Caenorhabditis elegans: one gene and its partner. The protein of the gene in region 2 interacts with the protein of the main gene of each other region in a pairwise test. Each region holds a gene or a part of one and is shown on either strand. Other genes may lie near its edges.

Region 1 (5,001 bases), on a different chromosome or scaffold from region 2:
ATTATTTCGCAATTATCGTAGTTTTTGTTATGAGAATTGGATGTTCTTTCTTTTTCTCACTTTTTCTATTGTTTTTTGCAAGGAGAGACGGGATATTATAATTTCTGTTCTTTGAATTCTTATAAACTATGAAATAATGCAAAATTTAAAGATTGCCGAACAGCCACCGACCGTCGTGTCACGCAGCGCGGAGACGATGGATGAACGCGGGGATATTGAAAATTCGCTTCAGTTTCCAAGGATTTCTTGAAAGAGGTAATATTTTAGCTTATTTTAGCTTCAAATGTTTCTTTTATTTTTGCAAAATTGGTTTTTGCTATCATTCATGGCAAAACCGCAAATTGACTTAACTCTACCTTTAACTTTTCAGTTCATATTGTATTTTTCGCAAACAAAACACAATTTTATACAAAAATGTATTTAATTTCAGATTAGCCAATCGGAAACGCCACGGAAAAGCATCTACAGAGCAACCAAGTGCAGCAGAGACAGCGGAACGAGGGAAAATCCCGAAAAATTCTAATTTTTTTTTGCATTTTTGGAAATTTTTCTTAAATAAATATTATTTAAATAAACTACTGTTGTCATATTATAAGAAAAGAAAGTGAAAACTACAAGCGGGTGGAACGAATCCTGGAAGGATTCCATCTCACAGACATGTCAATAATAGGCGAACGATGGGCCGCTAACAAGCGAAATACAGGCGAGGGATAGGCCGCGTACACGCGTGTTTTTGGTTCTACATTCGCTTGCACGCGGCCTGCATGCAAGTCATCGCTCGCTTGTCGCGGGTTACCTGTGTATACCCCCGGTCATTAAACTTGGTTTAGTTTGCCATGATACTTCCGTTGATTTTCTCTAATGTTCTCCGTCTCTCACTCTCTCACCTCGCTTTATTTCCTTCGTCCATCAGATTGCAAATGTCGTGGTAAGAACAAACTGCCATTTTGGTAAGGTCATCGACGTAAGGTCCAAGTAAAGGATGTTCACGAACCCTTAGGTTACCTCCAGAGTTAGGATTCAGAAGATCTTTTACTCGTTCACAATAAATTTCCATATACGATACCTGTAATAATATTGTTAGTTTCCATGAATTAATGTATCAAAAATAATTACCTCTACAGAATATTGAACATCTTTATCATTGTTATTATCAATTCGTGCAAATAAATCATTGCACAAACGTGGAATTATACCCATTTCATCTGGATCATTGGCTTTTCCCATCATTGTATATGATTTTCCTGATCCTGTTTGACCGTATGCAAAAATGCAGACATTATACCTAGAAGTCAATTATTTAAACTATTAATCTATGTACATCAAACGAACCCTTCAAATGCGTGTTCCAACATTTCAACTCCGAGCTCTTCATATACTTGTTTTTGGGTGATAAAATGTGGGTCATTCCTCGCAAACGACCAATATGAATGATCAAAATTGAAACTGAAGTTCTCCTTGTTAATTGAATGACCATTTATTGCTGAAAATTGGAATATTTTAATTTGAAACAGTTCATACAGTATGCTACTACAGTATCATGTATTGTTATCAGGGAGCTTTGAATTGAGCATATTTTACAACCATTCTTTAAAATTAAAATTTAAAAATAAAACATTTAAAGACTGTGTATAAAAATATATCTTGGAGATCACTACTCTCCAACGCAAATATGAACACCTATCTATGCTTCAAAAACTCTGTGTTAGAAACACGGAACGAAACATGTGGTGGTATTGCTCAATGGTAGATCCCAATATTGAATCCCATACCTCCAGAATATCTTTTAATTCCTCTTATTCATTTCAAGACCCCGTCTGTTCTTTTTTATGCATTGCTTCTCTCTCATCTTTTCAATTATTCCCAAAGACTCTTGGACGTCACCAACGTTTTTCGCATCATTTTGGGACGGCAGCCTATCCTTTTTTCTCGGAAAATATTTCGTAGAAAGGGGTTAACTCAGTCTCAAATGTCACCCGCCATTTCTAAATCCCTTGGGGCACTTACTCGTCGTATTTCCATTTACTTGAAGGACACATTTTGAAGTGTTCGAGATTTCCCGTTGGTTGAATGGGCGAACACGTACAGCTACTTTAACCGATGACATCTGAAATTGTTTTAATTAATTCAAGAATTCGTTCGTAGAAATTGGAATTCACATGTTATTTTGAACTTGTTTATTGAGATTTATTTAAACAATTGAAGTAAGATCGATATATGCTAATAAGGAAAGAAGGAAAAAAGAAATTGACGAAATAAAACAGATTAATGGTTGATTCGATTAGAAAATGTTGGCTCAGGCAGGGAAAAGAAGCAAATGCCAAATGACGTGAATTGTGATCTATTTTCATTGAATTTCAATTTTAAGCATTAAGATTTGAACATTTTGAAATTTTGAAACAAATTGAAAAGGGGTTTTAAAAGTTTTTTAAAACTACAAGTTTACTGATGTCAAAAATTTTACCAACTCTTGAAGAAAAATCTTGAAAAGTTAAAGCTCATTGCGATCTTTCCAAAACCTTAGTAACATTTCAGAACATGAATTAATTTTTTTGAAACCATATTTTTAGGATTAAAATGCAGTCCTACAAACTTACAGAATCTTTTAAGTGTTCTATTGTGGTATTTTTGAATTTTAGCCCATTTTTGGGTACTTTGAGTTAAAAAGGGAATTTTTAACGTAAAATCTGAATTTTTCGAATACCGCCTTTCAAGTCAAGATAATAACTCCGTTCAGCCATGTCATTTTTCTATATCGTTTTTTTTCACACATCAACATCTATAACAAGACATTTGTTTCCCTTTCCTCTTGTTTTTCTATTTTTTCTTCTTCTATTTTGCAATTTTGGCTCACCTCTTGAGTCCTTCTTCTCAGCTCGAGTCAATCATCCAATGGCGTTGAGCCCCACTTATCGTCTCCTCGATGCTTTTCCTCTTCTTCTCCAGTTTTCTATTGAATGTGTATTCGAAAAAAAAAATGAAGAAGAGTGCTGAAAAAAAGGCAGCAATGAATCTTCGAATAGATGGTCGATTGGGAAAGAAAAAGTTCGGAATGGAAGAGAAAAGAGAAAAAGATAGAGATGGAGGAGGACGGAGCCTCGAGGCGAATTTAATTAGATGAGGAAAAAAAAGGGGTTGGGCTGAAATTAGAGAAGCCGAGAAGAAGCAACAGATGACGATGATAAACATGGAAAAAAGAGAAACAAGGAGAAAAAGAACATTCGAAAAAAGAAGAAGGCAGGATACAGAAAAATGATTGAATTTGGTTGGTTTTTGTGAGTCACAGTGTAGAAATTATAGAATCTGATTTTGGAAGCAAAACTGATTTTGGCACAATGTTCCCTAAGGTCAGCGAAAGGAGACATAAAGTTCCAATGGCTACTGTAATCAATGAGTATTTAATGAAAACTATTGATTTTCAAATTTAAAGGTTCAAAAACGAAAGGTTAAAACTATTGTCATATGTTAAAAAAAACCGATCTGTAAAGAATCAGATGGTAAAACATAACCTTTAAAAATGTAAACAATTTCAAAAGTTTAGCTAACACGGGAAAATCTCTTACAGATTTTCCTGGCCTATGGTGATTTTTCTATCCACGCTATTGTTTTTTCTCATTTTAATTTTATATGCTCACTAATTTGAAGTTGATATCACTTATAGAACAAGTTGCTCAAGACAAATTGTAAAATTTTATTTAAAATAAAAAATGAAAAAGGTTCTTACGGTAACATGCTCGCAACTTAAAATAAAAGTTAACACCAACAAAATGAATTTAATTAATATTATCTAGTTCAAAATATGCTTCAATCTTTCGGAGCCTATTTCAAAATGTATACTTGGTCCTTTAGTAAATGGTAATTCAAGATGCTTCAACAATTTTCAACCAAACATTTTTTCACGAAGATCCCCAGCAGTTTTTGAGAGCTCTTGGCTCTTTTAGGGATGAGCACATAATGAAAAAAAGGCGAGGGTTCCAGGCGAATAGTCTCTCGGAATGACGTTTTGAAGACGGGAACTGGAAGTTTTATCGTCACGCAATGTGTTTTTGTTGTTCAATTTGAAGCTGAAAAAGGGGCCGGAATGAACGGAGAAGGCGATTGGATGGGAATAAAAGAAGAATGTTGTGCTAAATGAAGAAATGACGTGAAATGGAAAGAAATCAATTAAATAAAGAAATGTTAATTATTTAGAAGAAGAGATGAAACTAGTAGGAGAAAGGGTAAGGAAAACTTTTAGGATATATATTGAACCATAAAACGTCAATGGAAAATGAAAGCACGGAGGGATAGAATACGAAAATATTCAATTGAAAGAAAAAGGTAGAAATTCTCATCTAGTTCGCTTGTACTTAAACAGTTTTGTCAAATTTTAATCCAATTATCAGGTGATTGTTGCCAAAAACATCTAGTGGAAATTCTGATCACTTTTTAAGAAAAGTACAAAATCAAATTTATTTTTGTATTAGAAAATGTATTAGATATTTATAAATTCAATACAGCTTTGTTTTATCTACTTACATTATACAATTGTTTTTTCAATCTCAAAAATTCAGCCCTCAATCTATTTCCATCACATATCAATTTCCTCCCTTTTAATCTCGACAATGATTCGGTTCTGAAACTCGATATTCTACGTTTGCATATATATACGTCGTTGCATGTTTTGGTGTCATAATTCAAAAAAAGTCCAAGCCAAAATTTGGGAAGAAAAGGAAAACCGGAAGGGATTTTTGACCATCATCATCTGATGATCATGAGTTGTTGGTTTTTGAACAGACAAAAAAAAGAAACACGTCATTTGAATAAAGGCGTATCTGGAGAAAAAAGAATGAGAAAAAAAGTAGAAGAAAGAAGAGCAAGTCTATGTTGTGTGGGGCTATTTTCAGGCAGGGAGGAAGCACAACGTCTAATGGGTGAACGAGACGCAGAGATGAAACGGCAGAAGCTCTGTGGACGACGCGGGCTCCACAAATGGATCGATTGGAGGCACGACGTCTGGGG
Region 2 (4,871 bases):
GTGAAGCAGCTTCTCGTTTAGGAGTCGGCTCTTTGGTTGTAATTGGTGAAGTCAACGCATCAGCAGATGATTGTGGAATATCCCTGGGTGATGGTTCGATATCTGATGAGAATTCGTCTTGCCAGTCTGGAAAATTAGTATTTTAAGATTTAAAAGAATGAGGGTTGCAATTTCCATTGAGAAAAGGTGCGGAGCGGGTTTTTTTTCACTTTTCAACAGGAAACATCGTACGGAATACAATTAAAAATGGTTTTTTAATGGGAAATTTAAAATTTCTTTCCAACTGAACTGGTTTATTTAAGCCAAAAAGGTCTAAAAATTGAGCAATAAACCAATGCAGTTGGAAAATAAGTGAATTTACAGAAAAAAATCCGTTGGAAATTTCCTGTTAAAAAAAGTTTTAAAAAAACGCGCGGCGGTTGCGAAAACCCGTGCCGCACCTTTGCAGCATGGAAATCGGAAGAAAACTGGCATACCAATAAAGGTTAGTTGAGGATTCGAGTTCATGTTAGTTAAAAATTATCGGAAATAAATAAATAAACTAAATTTTGCGATATATAGAATTTTTTGTATTTTTACATATTTGTGAAGGGTCGCGTAAAAAACTCACCTTCGTTTGTGATGTGATTTGCAAGATTAACATCCATCGTGGTTGATTGTGTCATATGAGCAGAAATAAGATCAGATACTCCACGAATTGATGATGCATCCACAGAAGCAGCCATGCCCATTCTGTAATTTAAATAATATCTTTTAAAAATTAAAATTTTGATTTTAGGGGACCGAACCAAGTTATTAAAGGTGGAAGAAGTGTTTGCCTAACAAAATTCTTTTTGGAAAATGATAAAATTGGGAATTTTGCTTTAAATTGTATATCGTAATGAGCGAATTTATACAATTTTTTTAAACAATAAATATAATTGAAGCATTTTCAAAGATCTATATCGTTTGCGGGAATTTAACAACAAATATCGCATTTTTTGCAAAATTGGAGAAAACATAAAAATTTAGAAAATTTTTTTAAACAGTAATTATGATCTCTTTTCTGACATTTAGAGCAGTGATAAAAAATTTGGAAAATCAAGAAAATAAAATAAATTCAAAAAAATTGGTGATTTTTATTTCTTCATGCGCTTCAAAATTTGGAGTGAAGTGGAGGATAACCAAATCGAAAAAAAATCAAAAATTTGAAAAATAAAAAAACCTTCCCGAAAAATAACAAAAATTCCAGACACAAAACTCACAATGACAAATTACTTTGATCACCACTCTTATGTAAGCGATGTGATATTGGAAACCAACTACAAACAACGACACAACAGTCAAATATTAATCACTTTTTTAAATTTAATTAAATTAAACTTACTTGTTTCGAAGTTGCATATTTGGCAATGGCATATTCTGCATTAATTCGAATTTTTCACTTCCCATTAGATATTTTGTACGTTCCATGTGATCTACATGGGTTCGTAATAGAGTATTATATCGTTCGTGGAGACGATCGAATTCGAGCTTTTGTTCCACTTCACGTTCTTCCAGACGACTGGCTGAAAAATAATACTTTTTTTAAAAATTTATCCAAGAAAAACACAAGAGTTAATAATTGAGGTGACAATTAACTAACTGTAACAAACTAACCGTGATCAGTGGCATTTTTGGCTTTCAACTCGAGCATCCTCATTATTGATTCAAGTGACTCTATCTTTTTGTCCAACTCTTTATTCTGACCAATCAACGTGTCTTCTATTTCAATATATTTCTGTTCTGTCTGCTTTCGAAGTGCTTTTTCACGTTCATATTGTGTCTGAAGCTGTTCATTGTCCTCTTTGAGCATTTCAAGTTCTGCAGTCTGCTCGTCACGTTCCAAATAGGCAAGATCCAATGCTTCGAGCACATTTACAACCAATGGCATCAGAGTCTGAAAATGTTTAGTTTATTGAATGATAATAGAGAAAGAGAGAAGAAAATTAGCATAAATTTACCTGCTGACTGGTTTAACATACTGAATTTAGTATTGAAGTAGAGTAAAAACATAGAATTTCAATTTCTGATCAAAAAATGGTCTAAAAAGTCCGAATTTCGTAAAAATATCATTTAAAAGTTCTTCAATTAATTATGACGATTCTATGTTTTGAAAAATATTTAACTATGAGCTAAAATCTACAATTTTGCATATTTTTCCGTGCCACAGCGGTCGGAAATTTATTTTCATTCGATTTTCGCTTATTTTGTCGTTTATCTCGTGTTACTTCGTTGAGTTTGGTACATTTGAAGCGATAGGCAACTAAAAATAAGCAAGATCGAAATGATGCTCAATAAAAATTCATTTCCGGCCGTTGCGACACGGAAAAGTTGGCAAAATTGAAGATTTCAGAAGAAAGAAAGCGTTTTTTTTTTCAAAACCATCAGTCTTATTATGAAATCCGGTTGTTTTGGGACATTTTTTGCGAAAACAGCCATTTAAATAAATTTTAAAGTAAAATTCCGAAAAAACTCACTTTCACGCCATCTTCTCCGTGAACTTTTATCATTGTTTCCAACTCTCGATAAATTGCCGAAGCCATTGTCTGCACTTTATCCGACATTGTTCGATGCTCATCTGGTGAGCCGGGGCCGCCGTACACAATCTGAGATAACATTTCTCCCATCAATATCGAATGCAGCATAAAAAAATCCTCCTATTACCCGTCCCAACTGTTTTGTTGTGTCTAGCGACAATCAATAATGAAGAGAGAAGTGCGGAAGAGAAACATAACGGTATTTACTGGCCGAGGAATAGTAGTAGGGGGCGACGATAAGAGAACCGAGATAACTATCGGGAGACGCTGCTGCTGCCACTCGGTTGCAACAATGGTTCATTTGCCACCACTTACCTCAGACGGTGTGCTGCTCGTAATTGAGTCTGCCATCTCATTCACCGGTGACAAATTGCAAGCCATTTTTTCAGTCGTTCTGTCGATTATTGGTCCATGTGAGAGCAAGTTGACGAGACAATTCTACAAATTATGTTGCTTTTGTGCTTTGCAATGAAAAAAGCTATGTAAATAAAGTGCCACTCCTTCGCCGCGGCGACAGAAAATCAATAAAAGAAGGCTGGGCGCATGTGTGAATCTCGTGGATGAGAGAATACGGTAATTGGCGGAAGAGGAGCGTTTTGTGCGTCACGCACTACACGCATGTCGAGTGGGTTTTGCCGTTTTGCGCTTCAGAATTTATTTTTCTATTGAATTCAGAATAAAAACACTTCATTAGAAGTTTTGCATGAATAGAATTTCAATTTGCGCCGCTATTACGAATTTTTATATAAACTCTATCAAAATTATGTGTTTCTTAGGCTATTTTTGCGTCAAAACCACGAATTTAGTGTGACAACATGTGTTAAAACAATGAAAAAACAAATACGAAAGAATCAGTTTATTACGAAATAAATCAACGTTCATCATTATCTTCCTCAGGATATTCCGGGTGGCTCAGGAACGCTAGAAGCACTTGCACCAGAGAAATCATCAGAACAATTCCCACTCCGACCTGAATTGTTGGATTAAAGAGAAAATCATGTCGATTAATATAATTTACATCCAGAAGCACAATGCAGTTTTTAATTGCTGTATGCTCGTGGGGAGCTTTGGCACTGAATGTGTACACGATGAAGAAGATGAGCGAAAGCAACGATGTGACTGGTGCTGGAGCATGATAGATGGCCAACTGAAATTTTTGTAGAATGTAAAATAACTTTCTAAAACTAGGAATTACTTTTCTTTGGCTCATTGCCAACATGCATTTAGATCGACTCAAAAACAACAGAGCGATGAATGTGATGACTGCGAGTACGAGGAAAACGCTACCTGCTGAGAGCTGAAAACGTAGAGTTAGGAACGTCTTTAAGATGAGAATTTACCATCCAAAATGACGCGAGTCCAGATACGTACCCCATTGGAATAGTTCCCTGGAGTAGAACAGTCACACTAATCATCTGAAAACCAAGAAGATTCCCAAATAATCTGCTGAAAACTAGAAACTCACAATATTTGCCACAATGAGTTTGTTCAAAAGCATATTTCTACTTTACAAAGATTTGTAACCGTATAACCCTTTTGCTAGATTTGAATTTAACGAAATGAGTAGGAAATCAAGTTAAAAGTGTTGTCTATTTTATAAATTAAAAGAACGTAGAAAAGGTCTTCACGAAGAAATTTAAAATTTATTCAAAAAAAAAAAATCAGACTTCTTTCTTGGCTTTTTTCTTCGGTTTCGACGAGGATGTTTCAGTTGATCCTCCACATTCTTCTTTGATCGTTTGCATTCCTTCGATACCGTTCAGTTTTTTCATGTCTTCTTTGCCTGAAAATGTGCAAATTTTTATTCTTCAGCATTACTATATTATCCAGATAATTTTGCGATTTTCGTCATGCTAATACGATACCCGGTCTCGATACGGCAAAGTTTTTGATAGATCCAAAGAGGTGTGCGCCTTTAAAGAGTACTGTAATTTCAGATTTTCGTTGTTATGGAATTTGCATCGATTTTTCATAGTTTCAGATAAATAAATAAATATTTAAATATCGAAAAACTAATAAAAGTCTAAAAATTCGAAGTACAGTACACTTTAAAGGCACACACCTTTCAGAATTTAACAATTGTAGCGTCGAGACCGGGAACCGTACTTTCTGGGTAAAAATTGCACAATTTCGCAACAAAAACTAACCTGCAGGTTTACAAACCGCACTTTTTGAATGAAGAACTGTCAGAATCACGAACACGATTGTAGTGATGATTCCGATACCTCCGAAGACAGCCGAAACTATCATTAGCATGCTAGATGGCAAAATAAAGTGCTTTTCACTCATCTTTTTGATGAATGAGCGTTTTTA

What was found. The genes of interacting proteins can lie anywhere in the genome.
Region 1: the proteins of unc-16 (region 2) and unc-104 interact in a protein complementation assay, tested with the Caenorhabditis elegans proteins (one study listed by BioGRID).

The regions. Positions count from the first base shown.
Region 1 is NC_003280.10:6,993,040-6,998,040, reverse strand, and holds the start of unc-104 (Kinesin-like protein unc-104), read right to left. Parts: upstream 3,055-5,001; 5' UTR 2,855-3,054; intron 2,108-2,854; coding exon 2,008-2,107; intron 1,484-2,007; coding exon 1,333-1,483; intron 1,286-1,332; coding exon 1,117-1,285; intron 1,067-1,116; coding exon 888-1,066; intron 595-887; coding exon of another isoform or gene 431-594; intron 256-430; coding exon of another isoform or gene 150-255; intron 1-149. UniProt on the Caenorhabditis elegans protein: Motor protein involved in microtubule-associated anterograde transport. Regulates the transport of synaptic vesicle precursors in the axon of DA motor neurons. Regulates the polarized sorting of axonal proteins.
Region 2 is NC_003281.10:9,544,427-9,549,297, reverse strand, and holds the start of unc-16 (JNK-interacting protein), read right to left. Parts: upstream 3,004-4,871; 5' UTR 2,940-3,003; coding exon 2,874-2,939; intron 2,628-2,873; coding exon 2,499-2,627; intron 1,919-2,498; coding exon 1,639-1,918; intron 1,548-1,638; coding exon 1,367-1,547; intron 1,302-1,366; coding exon of another isoform or gene 1,245-1,301; intron 733-1,244; coding exon 611-732; intron 508-610; coding exon of another isoform or gene 477-507; intron 127-476; coding exon 1-126. Other genes in the region: ZK1098.12 (DUF2975 domain-containing protein), read right to left, coding at 3,430-3,528, 3,577-3,705, 3,754-3,855, 3,899-3,973, 4,024-4,056; ZK1098.9 (uncharacterized protein), read right to left, coding at 4,220-4,341, 4,706-4,847. UniProt on the Caenorhabditis elegans protein: The JNK-interacting protein (JIP) group of scaffold proteins selectively mediates JNK signaling by aggregating specific components of the MAPK cascade to form a functional JNK signaling module.